Linked DNA regions of Daphnia pulex. The main gene of each other region encodes a partner of the protein of the gene in region 2 in a complex. Links are inferred from orthologs where the notes say so. Each region holds a gene or a part of one and is shown on either strand. Other genes may lie near its edges.

Region 1 (2,865 bases), on a different chromosome or scaffold from region 2:
TTCATTAGGCATTCATTTATAATTAGTTCACTGACGGCATGCTGACGCAGTGACATTAAATCTAAGAACGACGCACGTATAAACCTTTAAAATAATAACAAAGACAACCATGAACCATCGTATTAATGGATCGCGTCACCGATCAAATTTAACAGACCACGAAATCACTAGATTAGTAGATTCGTTCGTAGCTTATTAATGTTCTATGCGTGCAGTTACTTCATTGCACAAAACCTGCTTTTAACAATCCAAAACAAATGGTAGATAATAAATTTATATTTTTTGCTTATTAACTGTAACCACTAAGTGCTGTAGTAGAAGAGAAACACAAAAACAAGACATTCTGCATTAACTTATCAAGATCAGTAAATGGGGAAGCTGAAATTTATATTAAAAATATCGGTGCTACGTGTTTTACGTTCGATTTTGTGACTATGTCAGTGATAAACTTCAAGCCAAATTGCAAACCTATAGGCAAAACTATAAGGCCGATGAGGTAAACAAAGTATGAATAAGGTGGAGTGGAACCAATTGGGCAGATCCAAATTCCATGTCTGTATCCATCCCTCCAATGATGAGTCCAAGTAGCAGTAACAATAATTACAGACATTTTGAGAAGACAGATGGAATGAATTCTGATGGAAAGTAAGGCCAATAGTAGAGCAACAACTGTAAACAGACTTGTGCAATGTAAAACTGGTCTGTGAGGCAGAGATGTAGCTTCCTGTAGAAAATGGGATTTACTCAGATTAAAAAACTTAAACTGGAATTTGTATGAATATTTACTTCAAGACTGGTAGTTCCAACAGCCAAAAAATGATCAATATCAATTGCAGAAGCCATTGATCCACATATAATAATGGCAACAAAATTAATTCTTTTATTGAATGACACATTGTCTACATAATTCCACGAAAGTGATGCTATAAGGAAATGAGTGGCACTATCAGTTATGCATTTAAGTAGTAACGATATGTAGGGGTACATGTACTGGGTGATAGTATCCCCAGCTATAGCTGTAACTGGTATTACAAAAAGGTTAATCCTTTTATAATGCTTCATTTTCTTCATTTTACTCTTCATTTTTCCCGACACAAAATTTAACGGAATTCTTATGGAAAACTGGTTGCCATATCAATTAAGTTTAAACAAAAATTACGTCTCACTTTAAGGCATAATATATACAGATAGCAAAGCAAATTGGGCACTTCTGTTTACGATTTCCCGATTTAATTTTTCTTTATTAATAATGGTTAGAGACGGTATATTATATTTGTTTTGCTGGTTTGTTTTGAAAAGACGGGAAGTTGCCATATTGCCCCTAAAGGCTAAATTATACTATCTTTATTTTATTCGTAAAATAATTTTGATACATGTCAATTTAAACTTCTTTAAAAATTGTAATTATTTTAATTAAATTTTTGGAAGTTAGATATTAACGATTTCTGACTTTATATCTTTTTATTTGTTTCTGACTTCATTGCGCGATTGCATCTATTTTGAAATTATGCAACGTTTTAACAATAGGCTTCTCCAAAAAACTGCACTGAAAGTTTTCCGAGAAAACAAACCTGGATGCGAATTTAAAGATTTTAAAACAACGTTCCAAGACAGAAACAAAAATGGTTAGTTAATTTGAAACAAAAACGCTTCCTGCTGTTGGAATTGATAAGTTAATGTATTTTTCCTATACCACATTTTTAGTCTCACACGATCTTACTAGTCCAGCCCGGACCCAAGCCGGAGACGAGAACGTATTCTGATTATGAATCAGTAAACGAATGTATGGAAGGTGTTTGTAAAATCTACGAAGAGCATTTAAAAAGACTGAATCCAAACACTCCTAGCATCACATATGATATCAGCCAATTGTTTGACTTCATTGATCAGTTGACCGATCTCTCCTGCCTAGTGTAAGGGCTCATTTTATATTATTGAAAAGACACCTTTTGAATTAATGATTAACCCTTAAAAAAATATAATTTTCAATTATTTATTTCATTTCATTGATTTAAATTCTTAAAGGGAACTAATTCCATGTTTATTTTTATTTCAGGTACCAGAAGATCAGCAATACTTATGCTCCATACAATAAGGACTGGATTAAAGAAAAAATCTACATTTTGTTGAGACGTCAAGCAGCTAAAGCTCCTTAATGGGAAATTTCATTCATCTTTCCGTTTATACTTCTGTTTTTCTCTTAACCCCGAAATTGTGACGTTCAATAAAATGTTTCTGACAAAGAGGCAGAACAATCTTAAAACTGTAAATGTGTTGGAAATTGCAATGATTAATTTTATTTCTCCAACTTGTTTTGAAACAGGTTAAACCTCTTTTATCACATTTTATAATATTAAGCTAAGGCCTAAGGCACGGATATGCGTCATTCGGACGTCATTTTCGTCATTCAGTCTAAGGGTCTAAATAAATGAATGTCGCAAATCCTACCAAGTACAAGTAAATAAATATGTTAATTGTTTTTTTTATTTGTATGATGATGTTTTGTTGAACTTTATTACTTAGGCAGAGATCATTTAAAGGGGATGTCCATGAAATAATTCTCTAGAAACAGTGAAACTTACATGGAAGACCATCTAGAAAGCTTAAAGAGAGTAATGAAACATCTGTTGTGTCGGCTGCAATGGTGTGTGCTGTACATGTGTGCATCGTGCATCCAGCTTATTTATAGGTATAAAATTGAGCAAGTTTAATTTACTTCCTATAAGAAGCAACCAATTCAACATGGAACGATTTCTCGTAATGAAGTCGCTGAAATTATTTAGTCGTGCAATATCGACAGTTTCAAAACCAGAGACAATCACAATGCCAAGAAAATGGCACAAAAAAATGGTAAAAGATTTAAAC
Region 2 (4,479 bases):
GTAACTTCAACATTTCTTGTCTAAGCTTGTTCAGAATGGCGTAATTGGGCGCGTTGACAGCTGCTTTGCTTTGGAGTAGAGTGATTTGCTGTTCTTCTTGTTTCTTCTCTTTTACTGTTTTAAGCGAATGTGAACCATAAAGACGAAGCAATGAACCCCAACTAGAAATGTGAGGATGCAGCGCCTTCTCCCAGATGAAGAAAAACAAATCGCAAAATTTAAAAATCTGAAACTGATGTTCAAGTTGATTACAATTCACCTGCAATATGGCCTGGGCTGCTCTTTGCTTTCCATCTCTTTTATTCTTGCATGGTACTTGAACTGTATGCTTTCCAACCGTCATTATTACTTCGTTTTTCTGATGTTTCAATGTTTTGAGCTCGTACTTGACGTTCTTATCGCCTAAACCAAAGTTTCTGCAACATTCATAATTATTGAAAATCGTTCAATACGCTAAAGAGAAAAACTGTTGAATCACCTTTGAAGGCATGTGAGGAGGATTGCGTAAGGGGATGGTTCGCTCGTTTTTGCACACAGTTCGGCAACGCGAGGGTCTTCTATTCGAATTTCGTTGAAAAACTGCTTTACAATAAACGGTAAGTAACACCATTCAATGCATCTAATAGCAAAATTAAATGCAACGTACGGATAGATCTAAGTCAGACTGATGATTTGGTCCCTTGTGACCTGGTTCCGCCTCGTCCAATATTTTTTCCTTCATCTGTGGAATAAGAACTTCTAGTGTCGCTTTCGCTGCTTCCGCCTTGGCGGCTTTCTTACTCGAACCGACCCCAGTACCGTACTGCATTCCATTAATCAATACCGTAGCACTATAAGGCGTTGCTGCATTCTCTGTCGAACAAAAATTACCCGATAAAACAATGAAAACAAAAATCGTTGCATTATGGGCAGTCGAATATACCAATTTCTTTAAATGTATAGGCAGGTTGCTTCTTAAGGGCATGTTGAACGTATTCATGGAGGATGCAAACGTAACTTTTCCCTGCCGGATTCATAATCCATTCCCGTCGCGATCCACTGTGAGATTTACAAACAAGAAATTGTTATCACAATTGAAGCCTTCAATATATAATGTTTACTTACCCATTAGCTCCACCAGCAGCACCTTGTCCTTCGCTTTGGGAGGTCGGATCGTTGTGTGTTGCCGGAATGGAATGTCCGATAGGGAAGGTTATAAGTTTGGTCCCTTTAGGTAAAGTTGGTCGACCCAGTTCAGCCGTCTGTGACAATTTAGCATCGTCATCCTCAACAGGGCTTTGGCTTGAGCCAATCACTTGTTTCTTATCCTCATTCAAGGAAAGACCAGATTGGGGGTAAATCTGTCGTTGTTTCCGCAGTTTGGTGTGCTTTCTCCTAGCTGCCCATGTTCTGTATGAATTTTTTAACGATGAATGAATGAGTAGGTATTAATAAGATTTAAGCAAATTACTCACTTAAATCGCATAAGGCGGACGGTTTTAAAATCAAATCGTTTGGAGCAGTATTCGCGCAGCTGAACTCCATTGAGAGAATGTGCTGCCTGATTCTCTTGGACTGATTCGATCCGAGCACAGGGGATATCAGGGGCAACATGAGCAGTACCATCTGCTGCAGTGTTAGCTGAGGCCTCTAATAGCTCTTCGGATTTCTGTTCTTCTTTCTCCTTGGCTCTTTGGTAATGTAGGCAAGGTACGGCGCTAATTGGCACTGCATGTTTCTAAAGATCGGAACTCGGGAGTTTAAATAGAAACAAAAAAGTAATGTTTAATTTAAAAATTACTCTGGCACTTCCAGGTCCAAGGAAGTAAGGCTTAGCAAGGGTGCAAACCCGTGTAGGTTTGTGAAGGTAGATAGGCATTCCACTGTTGTGTGTAACTTGGACCCAATTTTCAGGCAAAACTTCGAAATGGTTCTTACCCTTTTCTTAAAAACACAAAATAAAAATTAAAAAACTTTTTTAAATTAAATGTTTTTAAGGAATAACCTGAAAGTGTTACCTTCAAGAACAATTTTTTCTTTTTCTTCATATGCCATACTTGCATCCCCATTACCAGATGGCTTGGAAGAACCATCTGATTTTTTGAACTTTTTCCTAGATTTCATTTCTTCTGGTAAACCTTAAAAGTTACAAGTTACAGGTAAAAAATATCCACAACAAATGTCATATAGTTTGTAAAGTTACCTTCTTCCAACATAGCATCAATTTCATCTTGTTGTATATCAAAATCTTCTTCACTGTCTGCTTCATTGGAACTGCTGAAATCACTCTCTGAATTTTCCTTACACTCATCGTCATCATTAGCGTTGCTTTCAACTATTTCATCTAATACATGAAACTCTCTCATATTACTGAAATCTTTGTACAGTCCATCTGCGTCATCTTCTTCGGGATCAATATCATCCACTAGTTGAGAACCTTCCAAAATATCTTTCATCTCTTCCATTTCAAATTCTGTCATGCACAGAGTAGAAACCAAACTTAAGATAAGGTGTGGAATTGGAAATCCACAAATAAAGTTAACTGGTCTTAATATCTATGAATTACAATGTGTAAATGGAAGAATGAGCATCTACATCATAGGCCTTGTCTTCTGAGAAAATCAAAATCGAACACACATCAATAGCATTCGGGAAGATTTTCCTCAAACTTGGCAAAGCAATGATATAGTGCTATCGTATTTCGACGTGACGGATGAAGAACCGCTTTTATTTGTATATAATTGGATTTATATTAGCAACTATAGTTTTAAAGTAGAATGCCAATATTAGTTCAAAACTTCAAATCAAAATAATAATTTGATTCAATAGAATCGTCAAAGGATGAATAACTCGAGTTTGTTTGTAAAAGATTTCTAAAAAAATATGGCTTAGCAGACGAACTTTTTTCGAAAATCAATCTGTTGTTGCCTCGTCTACAACGCCATCTAAAGACGATCTAATTGTAATAAAAAATTCTAATATAAATCTGATAAAAATATCCTTGATTAAAAATTGCACAATATTCCAAATACAAACTTAAAATCATACTTTTTTGTCTTTTGCAAAAATGTTTTTGTTGATTTTGTTGCCGCATGGCAGCGCTGATTTTCCATTTTGTTGACAGCTTTATGACGTAGTCAGTTTTCACTCCGCTTCAGGTTACTCTTAATCTAGCATCTCGTTGAAAACGATACTGAAACCAAATTTGCTAAAGAAAATACATTCAAAATTCCGGAACAAGAAAGGTAGTCACAACATTCTTCTTTATTGTTGTTTGTTAGTTCATTTTTGTGTATGCAATTGTTTTTCTGTGCATTTCATTAGAGATGCTTTTTATGTTTTTGGTGATGCCTTTGGTCGGGCTAGCCAAGCAAGATGGCGGTTAATCGAGCATAGTTATTTTCAAACCCAGATTTCAACATCAAAATTTTCATTTCCTCTTTAGAATGTCGCGTCATCGTGAATGGGATTTGAAATGCAAAGTCTATGTTGGCAATCTGGGCAATAACACAGCCAGAGGTGACTTGGAAGCTTCATTCAGCAAATATGGAGCCTTGAAAAATGTTTGGGTTGCCCGAAATCCCCCTGGCTTTGCATTTGTTGAGTATGAGGATCCCAGAGATGCTGAAGATGCAGTTAGAGCCATGGATGGATCGTAAGAAACCAAATTACATACAATGGTAATTAATTATGTAAAATTAATTATTGACTTCTCGTAGGAGGATTTGTGGTTCTCGTGTGAGGGTGGAGATGTCTTCTGGCAGAGCCAGAGAGAGGAATGGACCCAGAGGAGGAGGTGGTGGTGGTGATCGCGGAGGTGATCGCCGCGGAGGGCCCCGTGGCGGTGCCGATTTCCGCGGAAGGTACGGTTAAAAATAATAAATTCTAACTTTTTTTTTTTACTTTTGAATTTCAATCAAATTGATTATTAAATATCAAATTTTATATATATATATATCGGAGCTGCTTATTTAAATCAAAACCTATTGCTTTCACAGGATTTTTTCATTTGATTTACTACCCCACTACCCCATCCATACAGCCGTAGTATTTGGTTGAAAAAAAAAAAAAAAAATAACATACCCCCTCTTTGTTTCTGGTTAACTGCTGCGGCACATGTTTGCCTGCCAACAACCACAAGTCTCTCCCCTTGTCGTCCACCAACTCAGCTCAATCAGCTCAGCTCAGCGCCGTCCTCAAGCGCCGCCATTCTTTTTTCTTGGCGGAGCAAAATGAAACAGAGCATAGCCAGCTTTCGTCCATCCATCCATCCAACCACACCCACACACCAGCTACCTCCAGGCTCTGTGGACGCGGGCGGGTAGAGAAATCTACCACGTCGATCAGCTCTTGATTTTCGCGAGGGGAACAGAAATATCACACACTTGAGGGGCAGGGGGCAAGTCACGGCCGAGATCGCCTGTCAGCGCGTTTCTTCACCGCCGACCCCAGACTTTTATTGGGGTCGCGCCCAATCGTTCAGCCCACCGACCACCTACC

The links.
Region 1: the proteins of microprocessor complex subunit DGCR8-like (region 2) and enhancer of rudimentary homolog are in contact, whole or in part, in a crystal structure (PDB 7CNC), measured with the Homo sapiens proteins. The link is inferred for Daphnia pulex from reciprocal best matches to the Homo sapiens genes DGCR8 and ERH. Residues at the interface, in NP_073557.3 of Homo sapiens: Lys107, Phe108, Ser109, Pro110, Asp111, Leu112, Leu114, Leu115; in NP_004441.1 of Homo sapiens: Val8, Pro10, Thr11, Thr18, Tyr19, Ala20, Glu27, Lys34, Met35, His39, Arg42, Met43, Phe60, Leu64.

Annotation. Positions count from the first base shown.
Region 1 is NC_060018.1:8,869,711-8,872,575, reverse strand, and holds enhancer of rudimentary homolog, read left to right. Parts: upstream 1-1,521; 5' UTR 1,522-1,622; coding exon 1,623-1,625; intron 1,626-1,704; coding exon 1,705-1,913; intron 1,914-2,056; coding exon 2,057-2,156; 3' UTR 2,157-2,270; downstream 2,271-2,865. Other genes in the region: transmembrane protein 267-like, read right to left, coding at 386-724, 787-1,083; probable ATP-dependent RNA helicase DDX28, read left to right, coding at 2,743-2,865. UniProt on the Homo sapiens protein: May have a role in the cell cycle.
Region 2 is NC_060024.1:13,485,311-13,489,789, forward strand, and holds the start of microprocessor complex subunit DGCR8-like, read right to left. Parts: upstream 2,874-4,479; 5' UTR 2,460-2,873; coding exon 2,183-2,459; intron 2,118-2,182; coding exon 1,998-2,117; intron 1,924-1,997; coding exon 1,781-1,923; intron 1,718-1,780; coding exon 1,455-1,717; intron 1,390-1,454; coding exon 1,105-1,389; intron 1,039-1,104; coding exon 923-1,038; intron 853-922; coding exon 647-852; intron 583-646; coding exon 479-582; intron 417-478; coding exon 260-416; intron 185-259; coding exon 1-184. Other genes in the region: RNA-binding protein 1-like, read left to right, coding at 3,426-3,634, 3,699-3,842.